Linked DNA regions of Notamacropus eugenii. The protein of the gene in region 2 purifies or fractionates together with the protein of the main gene of each other region. This does not show direct contact. Links are inferred from orthologs where the notes say so. Each region holds a gene or a part of one and is shown on either strand. Other genes may lie near its edges. The genes, in order: scaffold attachment factor B1-like, FUS, HNRNPC and SF3B1.

The links.
Region 1: the proteins of FUS (region 2) and scaffold attachment factor B1-like purify together in Homo sapiens (affinity purification with mass spectrometry; 3 studies listed by BioGRID and IntAct, with this or other methods). This does not show direct contact. The link is inferred for Notamacropus eugenii from reciprocal best matches to the Homo sapiens genes FUS and SAFB.
Region 3: the proteins of FUS (region 2) and HNRNPC purify together in Homo sapiens (affinity purification with mass spectrometry; 3 studies listed by BioGRID and IntAct, with this or other methods). This does not show direct contact. The link is inferred for Notamacropus eugenii from reciprocal best matches to the Homo sapiens genes FUS and HNRNPC.
Region 4: the proteins of FUS (region 2) and SF3B1 purify together in Homo sapiens (affinity purification with mass spectrometry; 3 studies listed by BioGRID and IntAct, with this or other methods). This does not show direct contact. The link is inferred for Notamacropus eugenii from reciprocal best matches to the Homo sapiens genes FUS and SF3B1.

The regions. Positions count from the first base shown.
Region 1 is NC_092875.1:73,567,778-73,575,641, reverse strand, and holds the start of scaffold attachment factor B1-like, read right to left. Parts: upstream 3,010-7,864; 5' UTR 2,749-3,009; coding exon 2,563-2,748; intron 1-2,562. Other genes in the region: SAFB2 (scaffold attachment factor B2), read left to right, coding at 3,179-3,484, 4,209-4,296. UniProt on the Homo sapiens protein: Binds to scaffold/matrix attachment region (S/MAR) DNA and forms a molecular assembly point to allow the formation of a 'transcriptosomal' complex (consisting of SR proteins and RNA polymerase II) coupling transcription and RNA processing.
Region 2 is NC_092874.1:377,559,238-377,566,271, reverse strand, and holds the start of FUS (RNA-binding protein FUS), read left to right. Parts: upstream 1-4,017; 5' UTR 4,018-4,096; coding exon 4,097-4,109; intron 4,110-6,247; coding exon 6,248-6,272; intron 6,273-6,359; coding exon 6,360-6,514; intron 6,515-7,034. UniProt on the Homo sapiens protein: DNA/RNA-binding protein that plays a role in various cellular processes such as transcription regulation, RNA splicing, RNA transport, DNA repair and damage response. Binds to ssRNA containing the consensus sequence 5'-AGGUAA-3'.
Region 3 is NC_092878.1:12,640,060-12,647,033, reverse strand, and holds the start of HNRNPC (heterogeneous nuclear ribonucleoproteins C1/C2), read right to left. Parts: upstream 3,015-6,974; 5' UTR 2,754-3,014; intron 1-2,753. UniProt on the Homo sapiens protein: Binds pre-mRNA and nucleates the assembly of 40S hnRNP particles. Interacts with poly-U tracts in the 3'-UTR or 5'-UTR of mRNA and modulates the stability and the level of translation of bound mRNA molecules. Single HNRNPC tetramers bind 230-240 nucleotides.
Region 4 is NC_092876.1:267,769,037-267,776,706, forward strand, and holds the start of SF3B1 (splicing factor 3B subunit 1), read right to left. Parts: upstream 3,004-7,670; 5' UTR 2,886-3,003; coding exon 2,858-2,885; intron 1-2,857. UniProt on the Homo sapiens protein: Component of the 17S U2 SnRNP complex of the spliceosome, a large ribonucleoprotein complex that removes introns from transcribed pre-mRNAs.

The DNA.
Region 1 (7,864 bases), on a different chromosome or scaffold from region 2:
TCTGAAGTCTTCTACCAGAGCCAGGTAAACCATGTTGTAAGATATATTATAATACATAATTCTTTCATTTAGGGCTTGGGAAAGATGTGGCCTCTTCCAACTCTCATATTGTGTGATGTAGAAAATAAGGGAAATGTTCAATCTATGGCAGAGATCTGATTTTGTCACCTAAATTTTAATGACAGTGAAATCCCATTTCATTATTTTCTTTTCTTTTATGGGTAAAATTGCAGATAACTATATTATTTATCATGGAACCATAGTAATTTGTAATTGGCTAGTTTCAAGTCATTCAAAACTTAAACAGAAGGAAAAACTAGCTTACTGCCTGTAGTACTGAATTTGGGAAAAGGGTTAAGTGCATCATAATCTAGAAACTAAGTGAAAGTTGACTGCATAACCTTGAGGGCAAAGACTTGTTTTGAAGATGAAGTATACCACAGTGAGAAGTGTTGAAATCAAGAGCCAGGAGTCATCGAGGTTTAAATCTCATCTCTGACATTTACCAACATGACTTAATTTCTCCCAGATAAAGTTTTTTAATCAGTAAAATGTGAATAATAATGCCAACAGTATTTACCTCCTTGAGGCTCAAAGGAGAGGATGTATTTAAGGCACTTTACAAATTTTAAAGTGCTAAATGAGTGTCAAGCTATCATTATTTGACTTTGCGTCTCCAGTGCCTAGCTCATGCTTAAGTACAAACTGAAATGAACTGAAAACATCAACTTTTCTCAGTGCTAGGTTTACACTGAAAACAGTCTGAAGCATCCATATCTCCTCCTGAGAAGCAAGCAAGTGGATCAGCCGAATAGGCCCAACTTTAAAAAACAAAACATAAATCAACATAAAGAAGAATTGAATGGTGGACTGACTGGATAGCACCTGAGACAAGATGTGGGGAAATTCATCCCCACCTTAAAAGCTGGAGCATTGTACCCATTTTTTTCATGTGAAATAAGGTTACATAAAAGACCTTGAAGAGGAAAAAGAAGTCACAAAAAATTAACTAGATGTTTTGTTTGTAAGATATGGTCTAATTTGTGTAAAGAGCATAATATTTCTTGAACTTCTGAAATGAGCTGTCACATAACTTTTATCTATCTACTTCATCTCCCACCTTAGATGCCTCCTTCATCCTAGAGTAAACTGGATGACTTCAGTTTCTGCTTCTTTATTTTTCAAATGAGGACAACATTGTCTCACCTTCCTGGGATGGTTCCACCCCACTACTTGTCTCTCACCATAAACTGTTACATATAGAAGGCAAAGTCAGTGTCTCCCTTTTATTAAACCACTTAAACAGAGATGAGGAAATTATCTCAATCTCAAAGTCCAGCGAGCCCTACTGGCTATTCAGTGCACAGAACACTTTGTGTCATCTATTATCTCCGTACATGTTGTATCTCACTGTCACCAATAGAATTTAAGCTTCTAGAACGCAAAGACTATTTTGTTTTTGAATTCCCCGTGCCTATCAGTATCTGGCACCTAGGTGGCATTTAATGCTTATATTAATCAATGGAATGGTAAGGGTTCAGAAATGATTTTTCATTGAATGGCTGAAAGACAGACAGGAGACAATGTATGAAAAAAGCTCTTGAAACCATAAAAGGTGTCTGGCTCCACTCCTTCCTCTCACGGAGTTACTCCTTCCTATGAGCTCTCTGCTCCAGCCATACTGGATCACTTTGTCCACAGTACACAAAAATCCGGGCTCTCAAGCCTCTGGAGGCAAGGCAGCGCAGTATACAATTTGGCACTAAGGTAAGACTAGAGTTGATACTGTAGGTCTACTTACTAGCTGTGTGACCTTAGGAAGCTACTTTACCTCTCTGGGTCTCAATTTCCTCACCTGTAAAATGAGATTCAGTTCAACAAACATTTTATTAAGTGTCATCTACCAAGTATATGCATTGCTAGGATGGAGGAAGGCCAAGACCAAATCCGAGCAGGCCCTGGCCGTCTAGATCGCCTCCAACGTTCTCCTCCATCAAGGATCTCTGCTCACCCTGTCCCCAAGTCCTGGGATGACCCCTGCCTTCTTCAAGCCCCCCCTCCTCCAGGAGCCCGACTTCGTCGTTTCTCCCCGCCCCCCATCTTCCCACAGCACTCGGCTTAATAATAACCTGACTAACCCAAGCTGGGCACCCTAGAGCTGCCTCCAAGCCATCCCGCCCCAGATCGGTGATAAAAACCCCAACAAGCCGCAGGTCGTCTCTCCTTCCTGGGGAACCCAAGGAAGTCGATATCGAGACGTGACTCCTCCTCCCTCCCATCCCCCCCACATCCAAGTTCCACCGGCCCCCAGAAATCCACCCAGGGAGCCCAGCCTCGGGACGTGCGGGGCGGGGCGCGCGGAGCTCTGCGGCCGGGGGCGGGGACAGCCAGGAGGGCGCGACGGCGGGGGAGCTCGAGGGCCCGCCCAGCCCCCCGCGCGCCTGCGCGGCGAGGCCCGCGGCTATGGCGACCCGGCCACTCTCTCAACCCCCCCTCCCCCAGCCCCCCTCCCCCATCCGTTCTCCCGACCCTCACACACGACTAGGCCCCAGAAGGCTCCACCTTCTTGAGTCGGTCCATCAAGACGCTCTTGTTGCCGCCGCTATCCAGGTTCCGCTTCTTCAGCTCGGCCCGGAGGTCAATCACCCGCAGATCGCTTAACCGCCGGGTCCCGGTCTCTGAGGAGGCGGAGCTGAGCCCTGCAGTGACAGAACTGGAATCGCCTGCGCCTGACAAAATCTCCGCCATCCCGAAGGGTCCTACCTCCGCTGCCCAACTCGCACGATTCGGGCGACTGCCACAGCTAGGAACACAAAATGGCGCCGCCTGCGAGGGAGCGGCACCAGCCTCCCCCACCCGTGGCGTCACTGCGCGCGCGCCGAGAAGGTGGTCTTTTTTTTCGGGAGGCTGCCCCCTCCTCCAGGCGCATGCGCCAAATCCCTCCGTCACCAGGAAGGAGGGAAGTAAGGAGCTTCACTGTCTAGATGCGCAGGCGCTCAAAACCCAAGCAAACTCCCGCCCTCAACTAATAGAGCACATGCGCAGCACCAGTTAGAGTGGGAGGAGCCCTGGATACGACTGTGGATCACGGGGGTGACTGCGTGGGATCCTACAGCACGCATGGGCAAACTCCCTCCGAGGAGGGGGTGGTGGAAAAAAGCCAAGTCGGTTGGCGCGCATGCGTAACCGGAAAGGAGGCAGGCTAGTGCGTTTTTCTCGCAAACGGCGCCATTTTGTGTTCGGAACTGCCGCAGCCACTGCTGTGTGTGAGGTGGGCAGCGAAGACAGGGCACCCAGGATGGCAGAGGCTCTGTCAGGGGCGGGCGATTCGGGATCTGGCCCGGCGGGTCTCGGCTCCGCCTCTTCGGAGACCGGGACCCGGCGGCTAAGTGATCTGCGAGTGATCGACCTCCGGGCCGAGCTGAGGAAGCGGAACCTGGATACCGGCGGCAACAAGAGCGTCCTGATGGACCGACTCAAGAAGGTGAGGGACCGGGGCACATCCGGGGCCCCGGCACTCGGTGTGGAGGGGGCGGGTGGAGGAGCGAGGGAGACCAGCGCGTTAGCTTGTCGCCGCGCACGCGTATTTGAGTCTGGGCTAAGGGGAGGTGCGCGCCTGTGGCTCGGCTCGGGGCACCCCTTGCTCCGCGGCCCGCTCCCCTCCGCTCCAGCCCTGGTCCACTTGCTCACCCCACCCCGCCGGAAAAAACCTTGGGAACGGGCGCGCTGGAGCGGCCCCGAGCTCCTGGGAAGGGGGTGTCCGGCGGGGGGCAGAGGCCGAGAGAGGAAGTCCTTCCCGTCCTGGCTCCGGCCGCGGGCCGTCCTCTGGTTATTCTGCCCCGAGCCGCGACCCTGTGACCTTTGGCCCCGCTCCGCACCCTCCTCTCCCCCGGTACAAAGTTCCAGCAACCTGTTGGTGTCTGCGAAACTTTCCCAAAATGGGTAAATCCTCGCAGCGCGTAGAAATGGCCGGCCTGGGCTTGGGTCCGGGCCCCTTCAGAAGCCTAAGGCTGCGCTTCCAGCCGTACGAGCCATGTCGCCATGTGATAGTGAAGTTCACTCGAGCCTGACTTCTGGGCTTGTTGCCCGGCCGGAGTAGCCTAACGAGAGTGAGGGAACTGAGCGTTTATTGCAGCGAAAGTTTATGACCAGTAAAGCACATGACGTCATGCACCTAACAAGCTCCCCTGAAACTGATATCTTAATAGGCTATTGAGGACGAAGGGGGCGATCCTGATGACATTGAGATTGCATCAGAGGCTGCCAGCAAGAAAATCCCAAAGAGGTATATCAAAGGTATGTGCACGAGCTCGGGGCAGAGGTTTTGGTGGACTGGAGAAGGCAGAGAACACCTTTTCTGTTTTCGTTAGGTTAACGTAGTTTTGGTTTTTACGTTTTTAAACAGTGAGCTTAGGTGAGCACTTAGGTGAACTAGGCAGAGAGCCAAGCAGGTGCTTTCAGATGCCCACGGGCTTATCGCAGAACCAGTGTACTTACTCCCACTTTGCTTTAATAATTATACTCTTGATAATGGTCATAACAGTTTTCATCTTCATGTGGCTTTTAAATAAAAAATTAAGTACTTTGACCTGTATTATCTCATTTGATCTCAACCATATCTTTGAGATAGTTGGGGAAAGTGGAATTTGTATTGCCTAATTTTCAAATGAGGAAGCTCAGAGGTCAGTCTTTGTAGGAAGAAAGACATTTTAGTCGGCATGTCGATATGAATGAACGGGTCCTATGAAAATAACATATCTATGAGAACACTTAACAAATACTTTTGATCATCAAAAAATACTGTTCATGTTCCTTTTCCTTCCCAAATTTTGATCCATTTTAGGACTGATGGACCTGAGGAGGCTAGCATATTGTGATTATTTTGATATGAGCACTTCTGTTACATTGTGTACAAATTTTAAGTTTTCCTGTCAGAGATGTATCATATAAATATATCCTACTATTATCGCTTTCCTTGGTAACATTTTTAGCTGAGGTGGTACTGTTTTTTCTTCTTTTGATCTATATTTCTTATTTTTATTCTGAACTTAAGTATTAAAAAGGGAATATTTCTATATGCTTTGAAGAACATAAGAGAATTGTATATGAAACAATCTCCATGCTGCTTTAAAAAAACTGAAATACTTGGTTATTTTCAAAACTGTTCTTTTTGTGCTTCCTTCTAAGCATTTTTCTGTTCCTTCCTGTGCATTTTAAACATTGTTTCAGTCGCCACATTGTTTTGTGGGGTGTTTTTGGACATTATTTTTAACAACCTATCTGCTCAACTCCTTTTTCCTCAATTAAAAACTGAGGGGGGAAAAAATCCTTGTTACAAATAAGAATAGTCAAGCAAATGATCACCATGGTAGCTATGCCTCCTCCTGTACTTTGAATCACTTACCTCAGGAGTCATTAGGTAGGTAACACTTCTTCATGTATATGTACACTGGAAAACTGATTGAAAGACAAGAACTCTAGTCAATACAATGACCAAAGTTGTTTTTTTTTTGTTTGTTTGTTTTTTATGGTATTGTTGTCCTTGTATGAATTGTTCTGGTTCTGTTCACTTTACATTTTTTATACTACCCCTAAGATTTTCTGCGTTTATCTTTTTTGTCATTTCCTATGATGAAATATTGTTCCATTACATTCATACACTGTAATTTGTTCTGTCATTGATGGGTATCTTCTTAGATTGTAGTTCTTTTTTCCCATACTTTTAATCCACCTTCCTTCCCCCTATACTTCACTGTCAAAAAGTCTGTTTCCCTGTGGGTGTTCTCCTCTTGGTATTATCTTCCCTCTTAACCCTCTATCCCTACCCCCATCTTTGCTTGTTTCTCTGTTGAGTTTGATGTATTTCTACACCAAATGGTGTGTGTACATTCAGCCCTACTTTATCCATGTCATATGAGTGAGCTTCATCAGATACCTGCTCCCTCCACTCCTTTCTCCAAGTTTTTATACTCTTCTCATGTCTCACCCCCATCTCTCTCCATTGTTATATTTCTTACACCTTTTCTTTCCCCTTTTAAAACTCTCCAAACAAAATAAGTATTTCCCAAAGCTTATATTTCAGTTATCAAGCATTATTTTTTTTTCTTTACCCATCTCCCCCCTTCCACTGCAAAATAAAGAAAAACAACCCTTCGAACAAATATGAATAGTTAGGGAAAATTGTTTCATTGGCTGAGTCCATGAAATATAGATCTCCTTCTGCACCCTGAAATTGTTCGCCACTTTGTTAGGAGGTGGGCAGCATGTTTTCATCATGAGTCTTCTAGAATTGTGGGTACCCATTGATAGAGTTCTCAAGTCTTTCAAAGTTGTTGTCTTTACAGTGTTACAGTTATTTTATAAGTTATCCTTCTGATTTGTATCACTTCACTCTGCATTAGTTCTTTCCTACAACATAAAAAGCTGCTGTAAATATTTTTGTACATGAGTCCTTTTTCTCTTTGTTTGGTCTCTTTGGGGTATTGACCCAATAGTGGTATAACTGAGTCAGATGGGATATTCGCAATTTAATAACTTTTTGGCATAATTTCAGATTGCTTTCATGAATAGCTAGACCAGTTCACTGCTCCATCAATAGTGTATTTTTGGTATTCCTGTTTTCCCTCCCACGTGTCAGTTAACTTTTTTGTCTACTTTACTAATCTGATGGGTGAGAACTGGGGCCTCAGAGTTTCTTTAATTTGCATTTCTCTAATTATTAATGATATGTAGCATTTTCTCATGGCTATAGATAACTTGAGAATAGCATATTAATATCCTTTGGCTATTATCAGTGGGCAGATAGCTATTATAGATTTGAATCATTCCTTATATATTTTATAAATGAGGTCTTTATCAGAGAAAATTTGTTGCAATGGTTTTTCCCCCACAGTTAACTGTTTCCTTTCTAATCTCAGTTGCATTGGATTTGTTTGTGCAAAAGTGTAGTTTTATGTAATCAAACAAAATTGTCCATTTTATCTTACGTGATTGTCTATCCTTTGTCATAGATCTGAAAGGTAATTTTTTTCCTTGTTCTAATTCGTTTGTAATGTCACCTTTTATAGCTAACTTGTATATTCATTTGGAGCTTATCTTGATATATGATTTAAGATGTTGGTCTAAACCTAATTTTTGTTAGACTCTTATCCAGATTTCTTAGAACTTTTGTGTCAACTAGACCTTATCCCAGTACCTGGGGAGGGTCTTTGGATTTATCCAACACAAGGCTATTAAGGTAGTTTACTTTGGCATGTTGTCTGCCATATGTGTTTCACTGGTCAGCCTCTCTATTTTTAAATGAGTGTAAAATTGTTTTGATGATTAACGATTTTTTTATAAATTTCAGAATCTGGTACTTCTGGGCTTCCTTTTCACTTTTTAAAAAATTGCCTTGAGATTCTTAAACCTATTGATCCTCCACATAAATTTTGGAGTTTTTTTTTTTTTTTAGTTTTACAAAATGATGCTTTGATAGTTTGGTTTGGTGTTGAATAAGTAAATTAATTTAGGTAGTATTGGCATTTTTCTTGTGTTTGTATTTCAAAGTAATTTCTTACCTCTGGTCTTTCTATCAGAAAGGCTTGAAACCCCTGTAGTTCATTTTTCCCCCTTATAGATTATATTCAGCTTTGCAGGGTAAGTTATTTTTGTTTGTAAGTCTTTGTAAGCCTTTTGGAATTTTCCAAGATCTCCTCTCATTTATGGTAGAGGCTACCAGGTCTTGTGTGATCCTGACTGGTTTCTTGGTACTTGAATTGCTTCTTTCAGGACGCTTGCAGTGTTTTGTTTTGTTTTGTTTTTTTAAATTTGATGTGGGGATTCATAATTTTATCTGTGACATTCCTGGGACTTTTCATTTTTG
Region 2 (7,034 bases):
CACATAAATGCTTCCCTGTCACATGGAGATATAATCTTTCTCCCCTCTTTGCACCACCTCAGTCTCTAGGGAAGGGAAGAAGTTTAGGTTCATGGATTCCCGTAGAATACAGTTTCTGTTTCAAGTCCACAGCTCCTCTCAGACTGGAGTCCCAGGCATCCTGGTTTCTCAGAGCTTCCATGCTAGCCTGGCTGCCTGCACTACCCTACTTGTAATCCTCACTCCAAGATCTCTATGGCTGGAACTACTGGTCCAGTGGGGCTAAAGATGGAAGAGAAGAGAGTGACCAGCTCAATGTCACCAGTTTTAAAGATGTAGGTAGCCAAGGACTTCCCTAGGGAAATTGGGCCTGCTCAACATCCTTGTTACACCTGATTCAATTATAATGATAATACACAATTTCAGTACTTAAGGGTTTTACAAAGCATTTTCTTTTTTTTTTGCATTTTCTTTTTTATTTTTTCTGTTATATATATTGATATCTTTTCTAAAATTTATTTAAGTTTTCAACATTCATTTCCACAAAATTTTCAGTTCCATATTTTCTCCCCATCTCTCCCCTCCCCCACCTCATAATGCCTTGCATTCTGATTGCCCCTTCCACCAATGTGCCCTCCCTTCTAACACCCCTCCCTTCCCTTATCCCCATCTTCTCTCTTGTCCTGTAGAGCAAGATAAATTTCTATACCGCTTTACCTGTATTTCTTATTTCCCAGTTGCATGCAAAAACAATACACAACATTTGTTCCTAAAACTTTGAGTTCCAACTTCTCTCCCTTCTTCCCTCCCCACCCATCCCCACTGAGAAGGCAATCAATTCAATATAGGCTATATATGTCTAGTTTTGCAAATGACTTCCATAATAGTCATGTTGTGTAAGACTGACTATATTTCCCTCCATTTCTGCCCCTGCCCCCCATTTCTTCTATTCTCTCTTTTGATCTTGTCCCTTCCCAAGAGTGTTTACTTCTAATTGCTCCCTCCTCCCATTTGCCCTCCCTTCCATCATCCCCCTCACCCTGCTTATCCCCTTCTCTCCTACTTTCCTGTAGTATAGGATACAAAGCATTTTCTTTACAAAATGTTATGAGTTAGGCAGTATATTAGCTCCATTGTATAGCTGAGGGAAACAGACATAAAGTCTGATTTGTCCATGGTCCAAGATGGGCCTTGAACTTGAACTGACTCTAAGAGTGCTCTTTATTACAATAGTATGCTGTCTGTCGTCCTTATATAACCTTTAGAGCTCTAGTCTTTGATCAGGTACTTTTGTTGACATATAATTATATGTGTAACATAGATAAACCTGGAATCTATGCTTGTTTTATCTTCCCATTAGATTTTCAAGTTCCTCCAAGGCAAGAATAGTATCCATCTGATCTAATCAGGCTCCACTGATTTTCTTTCTTTTAAAATATTTTTGGTGCTCTTTTTCCCTATTATGACTTTTCCTGCTCCAAAAGAAAACCTTCTTACAACTAAGTATAATCAAGTAGATCACTACATTGGTTTTCTCTAAAGGGTATGCCTCATTCTATACCTATAATCCACTGCCTCTCTCTTTTCTTTGCTGCCTCTTCCACATTTTGGTCAGCAGCCTTCTTACCCTGAAAATACCTCTGTCCCTCTGGTCCTTCATCTGACTGGTGAGGTCTTTCACATGGAGCTAAGTTCTGCTGAGGGACTCTCTGGTCCCTCATACCCCTGGAATGGCAACCTTCTCACTGAGAAGATGCTTCTTCCTCTGGAGCTCCTCTTCTATTCACGATTCCCTTCTCAAGACTAGGAATTCTCCAGACCATCCACAGTTACATCAATTCTATCTTGGCTTAGTGCCTGACCCGCCTGACTTTTCCACCTTAGCCTCACGTAGGGATGTATCCTGTTGGTGCCCCCTTCCCCTATTTCCAACCCCCTTTTTTATGTTATCTTCCCCCTTTAGAATGTAAGCACATTTAGGGTAGGGGCTGCCATTTTGGGGCTTCTATTTTTATTTCCAATGCTTAGTGTAAGTGTTTAACTTTATCTATCTTCTATCTATCTATTCCTTATTAGCCTTCTGAAGTCAAGATTGTTTTATTGATGAGAGAATTCTGAAGTCTTTAAGTGTAATTTATTTATTTTGGTTATTACAGAATTCTTACTTTGTTCTGAATATGTTTTCACATTCTTAAATTTCTTTGAATTCTTCATATTCATCATTTTCAATGGTAAAATAATTTCATTATGTTTAAAAACCACACTTTTTTCAGCCACTTCCAAAACTGACAGGCACGAAATTTGTTTCTGACAAGTACTCCAATAAAACACTCTGTCATATAAATAGGTGGGACCTTTCCCTCTGGTTTTGATCTCGTTGGGGGTATATTTCAGTAGAAGTATTACTGTGTCAAAGGGTATACAGTTAATGATTTTGGGGGTATAATCCCGCATCGTTTGCCAAGTTCATGGGCCAGTTCATGGGCACATCTGCCTTTTCATAGCCCCTTCACCATTCACTATTTTTCTTTTTTCTCGTCTTTGTCAATCTGACAGCTACAATAAAATCAAGGCTATCTTGGACTGGTGAAGGCTGGCCTCCCTGCGGACTTTCCTTTCCTGCCTCCACTTGCAGGTCACCCTCTCTGTGCGTGTTGTGCACTCGAGTGGACACAGTGAAGGAGCAGGTTAGCAAGCACACGATCCTAGAATCCACCCTTGGGTCTTGTGATGTCCGAGCTGAGGAATCCTCAGAGATCATCTGGGCCAGGGTCTGCCTGCAACTAAGAGAGCTAAGAAATCTCGTTTTTTCAAATAAATTCTTTCTCCTTCTCCTTCCCAAACCCCTTGTAACAAAGAATAAAAGAAAACAAGGCTCAGCCCTCTCCCACAAGGGAGGACACATGGGCTCAGGGGGGGCACAGTTCCGCTTCCTCAGGGTACATCTCAAACCAGGCTCAGGTAAGGCTCATCTTTAGGATCTTCCCCACATGTAGATAACGAGCTTTCCTCTAAGAAACATGATCCACGTACAGAGATTATTAAAAGACTATTTCTTTCACCACAGGAAGTGCTTAAGACACGAAAGAACGAACAGGCCCCTGTGGATAGATACAACATCTCAGCCAGCTCAGCCTACCCAAGAAAACGTGCCCTGGAGTCCCAGCGGTTACAGAGCGGGGAACCGTCTGTGCAGGGTCGTCACAGAGGCTGGGAGCGGCGTGGGGGAGGGGAGGGCCTTCGGAACGTGCTCTCCGGCCTGGTCCGCACGAACCTCTTCTCCAGTCTGAATAACGGACACGGCAATAAACCTAAGCCCGTCTGCAGCGTCTGCCAGAGGCCGAGGCGTAAACGCTCACACCGAAAAAGGAACCGCTGGGGCTGGCTCCAGTACACTGCTGCCCGGCAGGGGGCTCCCGGGGGAGGGGGGGGAAGGGGAGCATTACGGCGGGAACTGAGGGGTTACCAGGCTGGATTACGGGGGGAACTGTGTGTGTATGGGGGCCGGAGGCGGGCCAGGCCCCCCGGCCTCCATTGTAACCACAGTGCAGCAGCTCCTCGCCTCCCGCTCCCGGAGGAGGCGACGGGTGGAGGGGAGAGGAGGGGGGGGAGGACTGGCCAACTCCTCCGCTCCAGCCACCGGGCTCCGGAACAGAGCCTGACTTCCTCCCCCTCAATCACCACCAATGGTTCGTTCTCGTACGGCCGTCACCCCTCCCCCTTCACCTCCCCTTCCTTTCTTTTCCTGCCTTTGCTTCAAAGCGTACCATTTTTCTATCCGTAGGGGGAGGCTACAGGTTTTCTGATTAGAATGAAACAATATTACCTCTATGCCCAGCGTAGACAAAATGGGCAAATAAAAAGTTTCCTATAGTCTATATTTTTCATCTCTTTGTGTAGATCACCTCTCAAAATTCCCTAAGTTTGCGTTCGTCCCGTTACATTTCTGCCCGCCCCCATGTCCTAGACTTGGTACAGCCCTCTGCGGTGCGTAGGAGGAGGGGGAGGAGTACATAAGTTTCAGCGCAGGGGGTGGGGTTTTTCAGTCCTCGAGGCGTCGGCGGTCGGCTGCCTTCTATTTTCTGTTGCTCGGCAGCCGGTGTGCGCGTGCGCGGACATGGCCTCCAACGGTAAGAGCTCGTGGGGGAGGTGAGCCGATCCCTGATCGCCTCGCGCGACGGTTGGGTTAGCATTCGGAGCGGCCTGGAGCCCTTTTTGGGGGCCTGGAGTCGGGAGGGAAGGTAGTATGGTTGGATGGGTTGTGGCCGTGTCTGGGAGGAAGGGTCTCATTCTCGCGCGGTCTAGGCGGGAAGTAAGCGGAGGGCGGTAGGCGGGGAGAAGGGAGGCCGCTGTCGCCATCTTGTCCCGTGGTTCTGGCGCGTTAGTGTAGAAGAGCTGACTGGTAGAAGGGCTTTTTTGTGGTATCCTCTTTTTTTGAGAACGAAGCCCCCGGCGGCCTAGGTAGTAGGAGCATAAAGCAGCCGAGGGGAATAACGTTCAGCGCCTTCTCCCGCTGCGAGCTTTTCTCTGCCCGCTTTGTCGCAGTGCCGCATCCGGGCGACTTTGGTGCGCACGCGCGTGGGATCCACGCCCTGCCCGGGAGCGGAGGCCTGATCGGGGTGCGCGCGTCCCTCCCCCCAGGTTCTCAGCATCCCAGATTCTTCCTGGCTCCTCTGTAGACATCCCCCACTCAGCGTTCGCTCTCGCCCCCTTTTCCTGATTCTCTCCCACCTTACGGCCGAGGTTTTGCTCCCAAGGATGGACAGCCTGGCAGTCGGCCGGGAGAGGAGGTTTACCAGGACCCCTTCCCTCCTAGCCCGTTCACTAACGGCCCCGGGAGATCACTTTTGGTGCGTTGGGATTCAGGCCAACCTTCTTATGGAACTCCTTTGTTGAGCTTCTCTCCTTTAGCACTATGAAGGAAGGGTTGGGATTAGCTCTGTCTCCTTGAATGTAATTTCTCTTTATGAGTGGAAAGGGCCGTTTTTTGTTCTGAAAGAATCGGAATTCATGTTCTCTGCCCCAGCCGTCCTTGGGTAAGCAGGGTGATAATTCTGCTTCTGATGGGCATGACCCTTTAGCTTCCCTGGTTGTTGTAATTTGAGCCTTCCTGCAGCCCCGTGAAAAGTAGGGCAGGTAGTCATGACTACGAAGAGATTCAAGCAAGTAAGATTACTTAACCTCTGCCAAAGTCTGAGAAAGGGGCAGAACCCGGACAAAAAAACAAAACAAACGCCACGTTTCTTAATAAGAATGGAGGAAGACATCTGTCTACTTTGGTTATTTGGCTTTCATACTATTCTCCAAAAGAGCCTCAATCCCTTGAACTTAAAAAGGGGTGAGATTTCATGGAAGATGTTTATCTGAGGAGTTCAATACAATGAGACTTCTGGAATACCTCTCTGCTCCATTTCCTGCGAGTCCTTTTTGGGGAGGGAGGACGCCTAAAAAACTGCTTAGCCTTTCTCTGTCTTGGTCTTTATGGTCATATTTCTAACTGTTTGAGTTTTAGTCAGGAAACGTTGGGAATTCATTTTACGAAAATTTTCGTTGACCTTTTTTTGTTGTTTTCACATCCTTTTTATTTCCAAATTATCCTGATCTCATATCTCTACCCCAAACTATTTCTTATAAAAAAGAATAAAAATGGTACCAAAGGCAAGCTGGCAAAACCAATCAAACTCCCTTCCTCCTTGTCTCTCCCCTCCCCATCCCCTTTCAAATAGTAATTATCCTACCATGGATATTCATATCCACATAAACCTACAAAGGAAATTTCGATATATACTCATCTATTTTGGGAGGTATAGCTTGGTATTGTTTCCTGATCCGTTAGCCTTATTTTTAATCAGTTCACATGAATCCTCATGCTTCTCAGAATTCCTCATAGTCTTCATTTTTAGTCCATTTTTCTATGTTTTCACATATACATGAGAGAATGACTTTGGGATGTTTCAATGAATGTGACTTTGTAGACATTGGTGTCTATGGTGTTTTTCTTTAACTTCTTTGGGCTGTGTTTATCATTATCCTTCACGCTGATTTTTTTTTCTTTCTCCAGTCTTTTAGAATGAAAGAAAAATTTTTTTCCAGAAAATCCTCACTTCTATGAACTAGAATATTTAGCTTTATCCTTTTTGTGACACTGCTCCCTCTTTTTAAATTATGCTTTTTTGAGATTAAGCTTTTTGAAGCACATAGGTTTCTGTGTAGGGTTGGTGTATGTACATAAGAGTAATATAATTAAACTTTTTTTTTCCCCTTACAGATTACACTCAACAGGCCACACAAAGGTGAGTATGACATCAAAGGGAATACACTGGTGGCAAGATGTCCCTGTCCCAACTTTCATTTTTTTGATAATTATGTTCTTTTTATAGCTATGGAGCTTACCCTACCCAGCCTGGACAAGGCTATTCCCAACAAAGCAGTCAGCCCTATGGCCAACAGAGCTACAGTGGTTATGGCCAATCAGCTGATACCTCAGGCTATGGTCAGAGCAGCTATGGCTCCTCCTATGGACAAACCCAGAACAGTAAGTATTTGTCATCTTATTCTGGCTACCTTTTTAAAAACTACATTTGGAATCAGGATTTTAGATTTCAAAGGAATTCAGTTTAACAAACATACATTGAGACTTCTGAAATCTCCAAATCCTTTTGTTGCATATCTTCATTTTTTAAAATAAAATCTTTGTCTCATCCCTCCTTAAACCCCAGAATTTAATATGCTAGGACTTCCTTTTACTTTTAAAATGTATTATCCTATTATCCTTTTTTCACACCTCTCTCCCATTAAAAAATGCAAGTGAAAACAGATTTTTATTAGGTGCCCATCTACCCAAGTGGGTAGAGATTAATTTCTTTTAATTTAGATTTGATACTGCTTGAGAGTAAGTGGTTCCACTTTCAAGGAGCTTTTAACTTAGACAGCACTAACTCAGTACTTAAATGTGACACAAAGTGTAACTGACATTTTGAATAAGAGATGCTGCTAGTTGGTAAGATTGCAGAAAATAGGTTGAAATAAGAAGGAACTTAAAGGAATGTTAAAAA
Region 3 (6,974 bases), on a different chromosome or scaffold from region 2:
TCTATCAGGTGGTTCACCAGAGTAGCACAAATAGGGGGTTTTGGTTGTTTTGTTTTCTTTCAATAGAGTTCCACCTTGCCCCAAAGCCATTTCTATACCTTGGGCAAAAGAACTTATCACCCAACATTTCCAACATAAAATAAGAATATGACAATACAAAGGCATAACCAAACAACACTGTATCTCAAAAACAAATCCCTAAAAAATTTAACTGAAATAGCCTAGTTATTCAAGAGAATTTTTTAAGGCACTTGTTCAATTACAACTTGTTTTTTTAGGCAATTTCATTTAAAAAACCCCAAACAAAAAGCTTCTAAAAACCAACCTTGCCCTTGGAGAACAGCTGAGAAAATGAATCTCCCTTTATTTTTATCAAAGATATGGGTGCAACTTCATCTACCACTGGTTGTAGCTATAATTGTGAAAACCAATTATATGAACCTTTATCCACTCTTTTTTAAATCCTTTGTTCAAATAATAAAGACCTTTCAAAGACAGACTGTACCTGTAAAAGACTAATTCCAACTTCATTTCAGATAAATGGAGGCTCATCATAACATGACCAAACTCGTACAGCTAGTTAGTGGCTGAGCTGTAACTACAACTTTCTTCTCATCTGCCTCTCAATCCCGCGCTCTTTATTTGTACAACACTGCCTCCCCACGGAATATGTTAATTCCTAACCTTTCCTTCACAGTAAAATACTTCACAAGGAAAAATGTACATGTAACTCTTTTAGTAAATCAAGACCTAAAACTTTCTTTTATTCTTCCAATGTGATACTAGATCTAAAATCTGGTCACATGTCATGCAAACTTCTGTTATAAGCTTTGATTATAACGGCTACACAGAAGAACTATAATCAAGGATTATGTTCTTAAATCTTTTTTTACCTATGACGGAGGTCAACAATCACTAGAAGGAGTAAAATAATGTAAATACTAAATGTTTTTCCACTGCCTTATCTGGAAATGTGGGAGGCTGGCCTCTTTGAACTCTTAAGATCTTTTAAGGTGGCAAAGAAATGTAAAGGATGCGAAAAGGTTGAGCACAATATGCCAGCAACGTACGCACAGCACCTTTCTTTGCTCATTTCTTCCCTTAGCCTGCTATCACAACATTGAAATGCTGCCTCTACCCACCCTACTGTAAAGTGCATCTAGATCTAGGTCTGTGGCCAGTCGCTCACGCTCACAGCAATGTTTAACCTGAATTCTCTTCATTATATGCACTCAGGATGCTGTAAGGATACAAAAATGACCCTCCAGTATTCACATAGTCAGAACTACAGGTCACTTCAAATTTTCCTCTCTTACTAACCATTCTTAACAAGTACACCCAGATTATCAGGTTCCTGCGGAGGATGTTTTGATAAAAGACTTCCTATTGTAACAGTGTAGTCCATGTAATCACAAATGTTTGGGAATCCTTGCCCTCCTCCACTATTTTCTGTGCTAATCTGGTAGAACAAAGGATCCTTTTATTAGCGTCCATAACACGCAGCTGGAAGGCACAGCGGGCACTGCGGGTCCTGAAATCAGGATAATGGGAGTTCAAATTCTGTCTCCGACATCCACTACGTGATCGTCACTTCACCTGCTTCCTACCTGTAAAACGGGACTAACAGCGCCTACCTGCCCTCAATTATAACACATGTGAATCACTTTACAAGCGCTGAGGCGCTACGTAAGTACTAGAGGGCATTCAGCAGAGATGTGCTACCCTGTGCCTAAAAACTAACAGTATGACTTCCCGTGAAGGATTTTCTGGCCCCATTTCCTCTACTGTATTTTACCCTAATTAAAAATTAGAATTGTCCATTTTCAGCTACCATTTTCAAACAGTAAGCTAACCCAAGAACCGTCATGTCGGTCATCTGAGGTCTGGACCATCTCCTGTACACTTTGGACGTGTCCGGCTGCCTGGCGGCGGTCTCTGAAGGAGACTCGGGCAAGCGCTCGGAGGGCCGGCACTCTCACAAACCCTCATCCCTGACCCGTCTAACTTCTCCTCTGGGCCATCCACACCGCGAGCCTGCAGGGCCATACCTACCTCCCAGCCAAGCTTCACTAACTATGACTGTAACCTGCAGATAGAAAGCGGTCAGTCAGCTACGTTAGGGTTAATTATGCTCCCCACAAACGCAATTTAGGGCCAACACTGCCAAAGCCACCTTTTCTGTCGTGGAGGAGAGAAAAAAGAGTGAACGTTAGTATTCTGCAGCCGCCACGGGGACTGGGTGCATGGACGGCACACCACCGGCCAGACGGGTTGGGATCGTTCTCCACGCACACTCGCGACGGCCGCTCGCCGCCCCCCCCAGAACGGAAGGGGCCCGGATGGCGCTGAGCATCTCCAGGGAAACCCGCCCCCTTCCCGATCTTTAATTAGGGACCAGAGCATTGAGTAAGGATCGGCGTCACCACGAGCTCACCCCCCCCCGCCCACATCTCGCGGGCTCCGCCGGGGCCGTGGGCCGTTACCCCAGGGGGAGGGGAGACGGAGGCGGGCGCCGTTACACAGCGGCACATGCTCGCGGGGCCTGCGGAACTATGTCCACCCACCATGGAGTCGAGGCCCATTCGAAGCCTTTCCCCCCAACCCTCAGACTCAAGCCGCGCCAGGAAGTCCGTCTGGGCCGCGCTATTATCATGGAGGGACGCGCTCTGCGCCTCTCCCCCACGTTCCCTTCCCCCGCCCTGCCTTCCCCCAAGGGTCTCAGGGTCTCCCCCGGCTTGACTGTCACCACTCACCCGGTGGGGAGAGGGAGAAAGGGGTGGATTCTGAATCTCCGCCTCCCCGATCCGACAGCGGCAAAGAAACGGACTCCCGCTCCCGCAAGCCTCTTCCACCGCTACTATTACTTCTCCGTCCCCGTCTCCGTCTCCTCACAAAATGGCCCCCGCGTCTCGTCCACCGACACCGCGAAAACCGAGACCTCCGCCCCACTCCTAGAGGCCTTTCTATTGGCTAATGCTGCTCTCCGTCCCTACTCCCGATTAGACCGTTCGACTGCCAGTCACAGCTCTGTCCAATAGGAATCATGGGTAGGTTAGTCAGAATGGCAGTGAGTCCGCACCAGAGGGAGAAACTGGCCTTTCATTGGCTGTAGATGTTGTCATTTGAACTCAAGAAGGTGCTCATTGGTCAACGGAGGAAACGAAGAGGCAACAGAGAGACTCGCCTTTGTATCCGCGCAGGACTTCACATCCGGGTACCACCAGTTTTACAAGCGAGCTCTGATTGGAGGTCGCGGAAGCTCCTCCTGACCCCTTCCCCCTCAGCGCGCGAGTTCGAAGGCCCGCCCCGTTCTCCGAATTCCCGCGGCGCTAACAGACGCCCACGAGAAGCAGGGCCCGAGCTTTTCCCTTTCATTCCCCCTCCCCCGCGCCTCGCGTTGCACCACGTGCGCACGCCTCCCCACCGATGCCCAACCCGAGGTGGCGGGAAGAACCAGAGGGCCGCGTGTGTACGAAGAAGGCCTGGCTGGGGAAGGCCTTCTCCTGTCACCACCGCCACGAGCGCCCCCCGCAGCTCCCCACTCTGCCTTTAACCTGCCATTTCACAGCTGCCGAAGTAATAACATTGCCAGTGCGTCCGCTCAGGGCCCTCCCCCGCATGCCCCTGGTCTCCACGAGGAATCCCAGACGAGGATCCGAGGCCTTTGCCCCGGCCGTACCTCCCTCTGACGTGCCTTCTTGGACCACCCCACCCGCAGGGGCGAGGTGCCAGCACCCCGACTACGGCCCACCCTTCTCCAAAGTTACTGTGCTGAGATACCCAGAGGTTCTGCATGTGATTGGGGGCAGCACTCAAATTATCAATGCCCTCAGGGCAAAGGTCGGGCCTTCTAGACCTTAGCCTGAATGGGCCAGGGTCTCCCGGTGCATCCTGGGCCATCTCCAGTCATCCAGATGGCTCGGGAGGAGAAGCGAGGCTGGTGACTGCACAGCCCTCCCCCACCCAGATCCAAGTCAAGGGCGAGTGATGTCATCCTCTCCCTGCCGTCATCCTCTCCTGCCGTCATCCTCTCCCTGACGTCATCCTCTCCCTGCCGTCATCCTCTCCCTGCCGTCATCCTCTCCCTGACATCATCCTCTCCTGACGTCATCCTCTCCCTGACGTCATCCTCTCCCTGACGTCATCCTCTCCCTGACGTCAGGTGCGTACCACGGGGCACCAGAAGTGCTAGAAGAATCTTGTTAAGAAAAAAACGCGCACACCCCAGGACAAATGTGGGGGGCCGAATAACGTGTTTTCTGTTTTCCGTGAAGCCTCGCTCAGCGCTTGGCCCTGAAGGGCCCCAAGACTGCTTTGTATTCACCTGGGTTCGTCCAAGGACCATCAGTTGTCTCCAGGTGGAGTCTTCTGCCCCTCTCCAAGACCAGCACGGGATCACCTGGCTGCTGAGGTGTGGAGGATGAATGGGGGCACTCCCGCTGATCAAAGCACAGATACCTGGATGTGTGGAAGTCCTTCATGGAAACTGCCACCTTCACACTGATGTCACAGCCAGTGGATGTTTGCTGAGAGCCGCTCTGCGCTCTGTTCTGAGCAGTGGGGATACAAAAGAAGGCAGAAGACGGCTGGTGCTCATGGGAACAACTGTGTACTCACAGGATACAAGCCAAAGAAGTTGGAAATCATCAACACTGGGAGAGCACTAGAGTGAAGGAGGATCAGGAAAGAGTTCTTGCAGAAAGTAGCATTTTAGCTGGGACTTGAAGGAAGCCAGGGAAACCAGGAGGCACCAGGAGGAAGGAAGGAAGTCATCTGAAGCATGGGGAGTTGGCAGATGGCATTTCTTCTGATTAATAAGAAAAGCAGCTAACATGTATGTAGCGCTTACCGGGTACTGTACAAAGCGCTTTACAGATCCTTACAACAACCCCAGGAGTAGGTGCTATTTCCCATTTTACAGAGGGGTAAACTGAGGCAGACAAAGGCTAAGTGACTTGCCCAGGGTCACGTAGCTCATAATATGTGAGGTCTGATTTGAACTCAAGAGTCTTCCTGACTCCAGCTGCATCTATCCGCTGCATCATTTAGCTAGCTATGAAGAATAAAAAATATATGGAAAAGTTTATGAAATAACATCAAGTAAATAGACAAAGCCAGAAGAATGAAAATACCACTTGCTACAACTGTGTAAGAGAAAAAAAAAGAGACTAAATGGACAAAGAATCCTGATTGAATATAGAGCATCCGATTAAAGGGTTAGGACATTTTATAGGTTAAAATTAAAGTAAATATGAACTGTTACCCAGTGTGTTTAATCAGTTATGTTGATATTGAATATCAAGGTTGTAACAAAGGTTTTTATAAAGAAAACTGCCACCTTTATAGAAAATGAAAGAAAAATGTTTTCATAGGATTATAGAAAATTCTTTAGCAATTATTTGATAGAATTGATTATTGATTGTGTTCTAGATACTATAAGGAATCCTAAAGGAAATACCGTAAAAGAGAAGAGTCCTGCCTTCAGTTCAACAAACATTTGTTAAATGTTCATAAAACCGTGGACTTAGACCTGGAAGGAATCTTAAAAGATCATCTAGTTCAATCTCCTCATTTAACATATAAGGAAATTGAGACCAGAGAGATTAAGTAACTTGATGAGGTCACATGGGAAATAAATGTCGGGGTCAACATTCGAACTCAAGTCCTACAGCTCCAAGTTCATTGATTTTTTCATTGTACTTTGCTGCCTATTAATTGTATGGTACTATGCTAGGTGTTAGGAATTCAAGAATGACAACACAAAATCCTGTTCTCAGTGACTGAATAATCTACCATAGTAGTTGGAATAAGATATGTACACAGATAGCTATAATATACATTAGAATATGATTAAGTGTGTAAGAGAGAGGGAAGGATGACTTCCAGCCATTGTAATGAGGGAAACCTCAGAAGAGAAGGTAACACCTGAGCTGGGCTTTGAAGAAGTAGCATTTTTACATCAGAGATATAGAGGGAATCTAGAGCTAGCTATTCTGGCACTCAGGACAAGCAGCAAGAAAAGTTTACTTACATCAATTTGGCAATTAATGTAAAAATAATGAGACGAAAAATTCATTTGTGACGGGAAATTATAACTCATTACAAGGTTCACGTTAATGATACGGTAGCTTATTTTAACTAGTCTTACCAAGTAGAAGTTCAGTCATTTCTACGCTGGTAAAAGTGTACAAGGCTATCAACATGGAAGAAAATTTTAAATTGTATAATCTTTTAAGTTTGTCTTTTTAATATTTTTGTGCCCTCTAAATCAGGGGTTCTGAGTGGAAAGATTTATTGGATTTTTTTTCAATTTTATTTCAATTGTATTTCAATCAGTATTGATCAGGGTGATTCTACAGGGACAATGATTATAAGCAATTATTAAGGATATACTTATCTACTAATAAACATATAGTCAGTTTACCCAACTAATATTAGTATAAGAATAACATATTAATGCATATTTTACAATATAAGGATAAGTAGATAAGATAGATTTTTCTTTTCTGTATAGTAGGCCTCAAACTTTAAAACCTATAAATTCCCTGGTCACTACTTACTTACTAGTTTTAAAATTCGCTTGCATAAGAATGAGGGTATCTGCACCCTGTTTTGTTCAGTTACTGTGACCAAACCGCATGGGTGGGATGCTTTGGCTTGATATAGAAAGTCCTCCAGTTTATTTTTGTACCTGTGGACCACCCTCTCTTGCCCAATGTGAGGAGGAACCCATCTTACGATCACCTAGTAGAAACTATATTAGTTATGTTGTGAACGCAGTTATTGAAATTTTAAAAATAGATTCATAGAACCTATGCTTAGAGCCCTTGTTTTAAATATTGATCACCAGGAACACAGCCCCAGCTTCCTACCCTAGTTACAGCTTTGAGGGAGTCCATGCTAATAAGCTATAGAGCTTGAATATCTAAATACCACACAATGACAAAACTACATACCACTGCCATTTCATGATA
Region 4 (7,670 bases), on a different chromosome or scaffold from region 2:
AGAGAAGAGAAAGAAGCACCAAGAATAGATGGCCTTATGGAATTTATCCATGAAGAGGAGAATGACAGAGTAACAGTGAGAGGGGATGGATAGTAAGACCAAGTGAAGATTTTTAAGGATGGGAGGGACATGGTCCTCTTTGAAGGCAACAGGAAAAGAGAAAGTGGAGAAGAGAGAGACTGAATATTAAACAGTGGAGATGACAATATAGAGGCAATCTTCTGGGAAGACAGGACATCAGGAGCTCTTAACCCTTTTTGTGTCATGTAGCCCTTTGGCAGTCTGGAGAGAGAACCCTATGGACCCATTCTCAGAATGTTTTTTAAAATTTATCACTGATCAGTTAAGAAAAATCAACAGCCATTTATGAGAGCATATTTTGGCCAAGTACTGTCCTAAGTGCTGGGGATAAAAAGAAAGGCAACTAAACATAAGGGGAAAATAATTTTTCCCCCCATACAGTTTGTGGGCTCTCTGAAATCTATCTATGAAACCAAGGTAAAGAACTCCTAAAGCAGAGAGTGGAGAGAAACATCTGAGTGATATAAGGAGGACACAAAAGGGAGCTCTCAGAAAATGGCTTCAATTACTTTGATAAAGAGGTAAGGTCAAAGGGTAAGAGAATGGGGATGGGGTGTGATGGGAGGATTGAAGAGGGATGAAAAGGTTTGGAATGATTAGGGAGGTAAAAAAGGATTACCCTGCTGCCATGAGGAGCCAGTTGTGATCAGGTAGCATTAATAAACATCAATAAAAGTGATGCACTCAGATGATGGGAATAATCCAAGGCTGGGTTTGGCAAGGTGAAGAGATCGGTAGTAGGGAAACAAAGTTTGGAATGGCATAAAGCTAAATTAGTTCCTCCAAGGAGTTAAGCTAGGAAAGGGACTTAAGTATAGTCAGTGCTGGTACAGTAAGAATACGGGTCATAAGACATAGGAAAAATGGAATAGTAAAATGTTTTTATTACACAAAGGAATTTCAGAGTTCATGAACATGGTTGTGGGTAAAGGCAAAGGATAGGACCATCTCTGCATGAGGTTAAGTAGACTGGAGGGATAGATCATGGAACTGAATAAACTGAAGAACCAGAGTTAATGTGGCATAATGATGGAAAGTGATACCAACGACCAATAAAGGTTATGTCGGTGGGGGAGGAATGTGATTAGGGAGACACACAAGGTACAAACTTCGGGTAAAGCTAGTAATTTTAAGTAAAAAATAAGCTGAACTGACAAATTTTTAATATGTTAGTCTTTTTTATTATACATGTGCACTTCAGGAACTTATTAGACAATATAATCTCTGAACACTAATATCACAAAAACCAAAAGGCCGTTTTTGATGACCCTAGCAGTAGGGGGGCAGCCAAGTTGCTTAAGTAGATCATGAAAATACACTCAAAAAAACTACTTCACATTAATGGTTTCACCATCCTACCCACCAAATCATTTAAAGGAGCTCTGAAAACTAAGCAAAACTGACTGCTCTGAATTTAATTTCTGTTTCTGTCCATGGCCACCTTAAACATCTTAATAAAGAACACTTTTAAAAAGCAAACCATAAACAACAGCGACAAGACCAAACCATCCAACACAAATAAGAATCGAGGCTCTATCTCTAAGTTTTCTAAAATAGTAAAGATTTTTTTTGGATCTTCTTATTACCCAGTGAGTTAGCCACCCATTCCAACTTTGTGTCATCTACAAATTTAATGAAAATTTGTGTTCGTTTATTCTTTCTTCTGACAAGCGATTATGATGAAGTGCCTGAAACAGCTTCCTAACCCGACCTCTGTGTACCAATATTCAAGTGGAGCAACAATAGTTTTCACAAACAAGAAAAACGCCACCAGTTAAGGTTTTTAAACAGTATGGGAGATAGAACTACATAAGATTTTTAAAAAGTGTCTAGCTACAAGTTTTAATTTCGGATTCTCAGGCTTAACATTCTTTGGAAGTCTCTTGTGACTACTAAAATTGGATAACCCAAAATGGGGTTCCACGTTCAAGTCAAGGCTAAGCGCTTACTACGTGCCAGCCACTGTATTAAGTACTGGGTATACAAAGAAATCCACTTCCCTGGTCAGAAAATAACGGAGTGGGGACATGGTTAGTAAATTAAAATACTACTCATTTGCTAACACAATCCTCCCCACGTTAAAACAATTTTAAAATAAAAATATCTAAGCTTTTTATATTAATGAAACCACCTCCCTTCTCCCCTTCCCTCACGTCAAACAGCATCTTTCCTAATTTAAAAAGAATAACGGAGCGGGGGAGGAGGGGAGGTTAGGGAATAAGAACGTTTCCAAATCGCTTCACCCAGAGAAATCTAAATATTAAACCGGATTAGTATTAAAAAGCACATGAGTCAAAGGCGCCGAGGGCCCGGCATGTGGCTCCACAGGGCCAAGGAGTAACGGGCCTCGGAGGAGTCTCCCCGCGGAGTCCCTCCCTGTCTCGTCCGAGCATAACACCACCAGGCCGGGGGTTAGGAAGAGCAGCGCACGGGCCTTCGCCCCGCACTCCACTGAGGAGATTTCGCGACCGCTTTCTCCGCGGCTTTATCCTCTGGGCTCCCAAGAAGCCCATCGGGCCCACGAGGAAAGCCAAGGGGAAGCGTCGGCCCGAAGCACAAAACAAAGCGCTGTCGGGGGAGGGGGCGGGAGGGTGGGACGCCATTACATTGTACCGCGGCCTGCGCCGCCGCCCAATCGACCCCGAACCCCGCAGGAGCCGGCTGGGCTCCTCGACCCCAAAGAAGAGAGAAACAAGGAGACGAGGGGAAGATGGAACCGCGGAAACCTGAGAGAAGAGAAAAGGCGATCGAGCAAGGACAGGGAAACATTCCTTACCTTCGTGAGTTTTGGCGATCTTCGCCATTTTGTCCACTCGAACACACAGACGGAACTGGTACGTCCCAGAACTTCCGCTCGTGGCCGCCGCCACCGAGAAAAATAGCGGGGGAGGGGAGGCGGTGCTTCGGCGCAGGCGCCAAAAGAGGAGTGCGCGCAAATGTGTCACGTGACAGGAGAACCACTAAGAGGGGAGCGGCCCGGTGCATTGTGGGTGTGGGAGGGGCAGGGAGCCCGGAGGTCGGTCCTAGGTTGGTTTCAGAAGTGATTGAAGTCGGCTGCCATGTAACATCCTTGTGATTAGAAAGGCTTTTATGCGGAAGAAAGGTCGGCCTTGTGGCGTTACGTAATGAGGAGCAGCCTGGGTAAGGTCCTAACGAAGCCATTCTGCATAATTCTCTCTCCATCCCGGGTATCTGCTCCCTCCCGAGAGCCTGTAGGAAAGGAGCTTGCCTGTCCTGAGCTGGACTCCCTGCGGTGCTTAACCCGGGGTACCCCGTCTTCGGTGGGGCAAAGACTGCCGGTCTCGGCTTTAGAAGTCTGAGTGCAGATCCTGCCCCTGACACTGCTCGGGACTAGGCGCTGAGCCGCTTAAAGCCTCCGTTTCTGTTTTTTGTTGGTCGAGAAGTCTGAACTCGATAAACCTGAAGATCCATCCGAGTTCTAAATCTATAATCCTACTTGATTAAATCAGTCTAACCTTCAGATGCCCCAAGCCACCCATTCGGAGTATTATATGAAAGAGTTTCTGATCTGCAACCTCAAGATGAGGTTAGGAAGTTCTCTGTGTCTTACACTCAGCCTTTCCGCTACAATTTGAAAATTCAGAAAGAAAACACTGTATCAAACTCCTTTTATGCCTAAACTCGGGAGATAAAGCAAAAAAAAAAAAAACCAAACTATAAGCCATTATCATTAGTGATACCGATATAAAAAGTTTTAAAGTAAAATCCTAACAAAAAGATGATCAAGAAATGCAAAAAAATTATCCCATAGTGCCAGAACTACTCTAGACAGATATGAGGGGAACAAACTTTAATTTCCTTATTCTTGGACGCTATACCTCCATTAACGAAGTCCAGGCACACTGCCTCTTTTGGCAGCAATATTTTGGCTGCTGTTTCATACTGAGGTTGTGGTTCACTACAGTTCTCAGATATTTCCCCCCAAAAAACTGCTGATTCCCCTACCTTGTACTTGCAAAGTTGCCTTTTTTTGTGCTCAAGTAAAAGACTTTACATTTATCCCTATCAAATTTTACATTATTAAATTACACACAATGGTCTAGCTTGTCAAGATCTTTCTGGATCCTAACTGTTTTCCAGTATGGTGTTAACTCTTCCTAGCTCTATATTATCTAAAAATTGAATTACATTTCATCAATGGCTTTATCTGAATCATTGATAAAATGTTAAATAGCACTAAGCCAAACACTGATCCCTGGGTCCTTGGCTCTAGAGATCTCTTGTCACGTTGACATTGAATCGTTAACAACTACTCTTCAAGTTCAGTAGGAACCGGTAGTTGAGTAAAAACACCTTACTGAACCAGAAATGATGCTGAAGATATGTAAGTAGAATAAAATGCCCCTTTTGTAAGAACCCACATAGATTAGTCAGTCAATCAACATTTATTAACCATTTATTATTATTATAACAGTTAACATTTATTAACTGTGGAGATTGTAGTTTGTCCTTAATTTTTGAAGAGGACCAGTGACATCATGGGGGATGTCTTGACTTGCGCCTGAATTGGATTTAAGCAAGGCAGAGTTGCACAAAGTCTTCAGCCTCACTCTTTTTACCAGAGTCATCAAAGTCCATTGGCAAGATAAAAGTCAAGGCAACTGACTTTTATCTGGATACAGTGAATGACATCAGTGTTGTCAATGTCTGACCAAGCTCAGAGTGCTCCATAACTTGCTTTAGCTGTCTTCATGGCCTTTCGAACAAATTGTTCTCATCCAACCCTTCTACTGGGGGAAGTCTTCGCATGCTTGGGGTAGACAACCTGTAATGTTACTTAGATCTTCCCTGCCCATTAATAGGCCTCAAGTACCTTTTGTTAATTTCTGTTGAGGCACTGGGTCAGAGGGTCCTGTCCTCCAGGTCTGAAAAGTGTATAAATACTGAGGTGAGGTTTAACTTTGGGACTTACTCATTAGAAGTGTTTATTTGGCCAGACAAGAGCTTTGAAAACCTAGATGTTGGTGCTTCTCCCTCTGGTGACTATGTTTGTGTATGTATGTTCAGACAGTTGGATCTGTGATGTATATATTGTTTATGGTCAGATCTGAGGAAGCCCTGTCTGTTGGTTGATCTTTGTTTCTCTGTTTGTATTTTCTCTGAAGTTCAGGGTGCTGACTTTTCCCCTTGACCTAAGTAAATGATAATATGTGCTTGATTAAAGTGATTGTTGACCCCTCAAAAGTTGCTTTCCTTTTAAAAAAGCAGAACTAAGAACCTGTACAGCAGGCCCTCCTGTGTATGTCAGGGTCCTTGCTGTTACACCCTACCTAACTACCCACCTAACTCACCAATGAGTTTATGGCCCTACAGTTACCCTCAATCTGGTTTAGTCCGTCTGCTGAGATAGTTTATAAGGGTGTGGCCAATGCTTGTGCTACAGTTTCTTGAAGTCATGGGTGAAAATTGAGAACCAAGTGGACACCAAGGTGGATGGAGCAGCCCTGATGAAAGCTCAGCAAGCCCTCACACCTGAAGTGTTAATGTTCCATACAACCCTATGTGGAGATACAAAGAAAGGCAAAAGACAGTTAAGGATCTCAGTCATTGGGGGAGAGAACATGCAAACAACTACATACAAATAAACTATATACAAGATAAATTGGAAATAATCAACAGAAGGGAAGCACTAGATTTAAGGGTTAGTGAGAAAAGAAAGCTCTCATGGTTTAAAATGGTACCAGACCATTAACAACTACTCCTAGATTCTGGCCATGCAACTAGTTCTCACTGATTGAATCTAAAAATTTAAATAATAGGAAATATAATAAAGAATTGGTTTTTCTTTTTTAAAAAAATCTTTTAAATGTGATAACATCTTTTAAATCTTCTTAATCTGAATTTGAGAAGCGTCAACAAATATGAATATTTCCTTATACAAGGAATAACAGAAGGATTGTCCACAAAACCTCCCATCTCTATTAAATATAGCTTCCATTTCCTCTATGTTAATTCCAAAGCTATACTTATCTGCATCTCCTTCTGAACCTCCTGTTTCTTTTTTCTTTTTTAAATATTACATTGACTTCTTTCTTTGGCTTCTCTCTATTTAAACTCTCTCAATTCCCCTTCTCTCTTAAAAAAAAACAACTTTGTAACTAACAAGCACAGCAAAAGAATATATATGTATATATGCACACACACATATATATACATATACACACATATTATGTATGTTTTACTTTTCTGCTTACTTCACTCTGCATCAGCATATGTTTTTTCGGGTTTCTCTGAATCCATCCCTTTTACAACTTTTTACAATGCAGGGATATTCCATTACATTAGTAGACATATATTCAGCCATTCCCCAAATGATGGGCGCTCATTTTATTTCCAGGTGTTTACTATCACAAAAGTATTTTAGAATTGGTTCTTCCAAAAAGCTAATAAAACAGATAAACTGTTGGCAACTTTAAAAGGGAGAAGAAAACTTTTTTGCCATGATAAAAAAAAAATGGGGAAAAAAAAGACTTTATAGTGAATGAAGAGGAAAAAATTATCAGAAACCATATTGCTAAATTATATGCTAACAGATAACTAATAAATTGGACAACTCTATACAAAAATATAAAATACACAGATTAGCCATGTAAGAAATGCAAATTTAAATAATCTAATGAGGGGGGAGAAATTTGAAAAGTCACAAAGGAACTTCTAAAGGAAAAAATACTAGGATTATATAGTATTGTAAGTGAATTCTATCAAACATTCAAACAACTATATTCTATAAATTGTTTGCAGAAATCAGACAAGATGGCATCCCAACAATCCCTTCTGTTAATAGGATCTTGCTGTCAAAAGTAGGAAGAGATTAAAACAGAGAAATAAATGTATAAACCAAAATATCTAATGAATATTGATGCAAAAATATTCAGTAAAATGTTAGCCAAGAGGCTGTAACCTATTAAAAGTACTATGCATTATGGCTAGGTTGAAGTTATACCAAGAATGCAAGATTGGTTCAAAATCAGGAAAACTATAAACATAATACACTATATTAGTAACAAAAATGTTTTTGAATACATGATATTATAGACACAGAAAAAAACGTTTTAAGAAAATACGATCTTTTTTGTTAAAAGTATCCAAAAGCAAAAGAATAAATGGACTATTCTTTATTGAAGTAAAAAGTATCTTTCTAAAACCAAAAGTAAGCATTATCTATAATAGAGAAATACTAGAAGCCTTTCCAATAAGATTAGGATAAAGCAAGAATATCTACTGCATTATCACCACTATAATTTGACCTAGTTCTATAAATTTTAGCTATAGCAATAAGACAACATAAAGAAATTAAAGAAATAAACATAAGCAAAGAGAGATGATACAGTTTAATAAAGAGCCCTAATTATTCAGCTAAAGATAACTGAAACAATAGTTTCATTAAAGCAAAAGGTTATAAAATAAAGCCACAAAAATTATCAGCCTTTATACTACCAATAAAATCCATCAGGAAAAGATAGAAAAGGAAATTCCTTTCAAAATAACTGTGCAACACATAAGAAAGAAACACATGGGAATGATATGTATGCAGTTATAAAACACCACAGAAATATAGACATAATTGG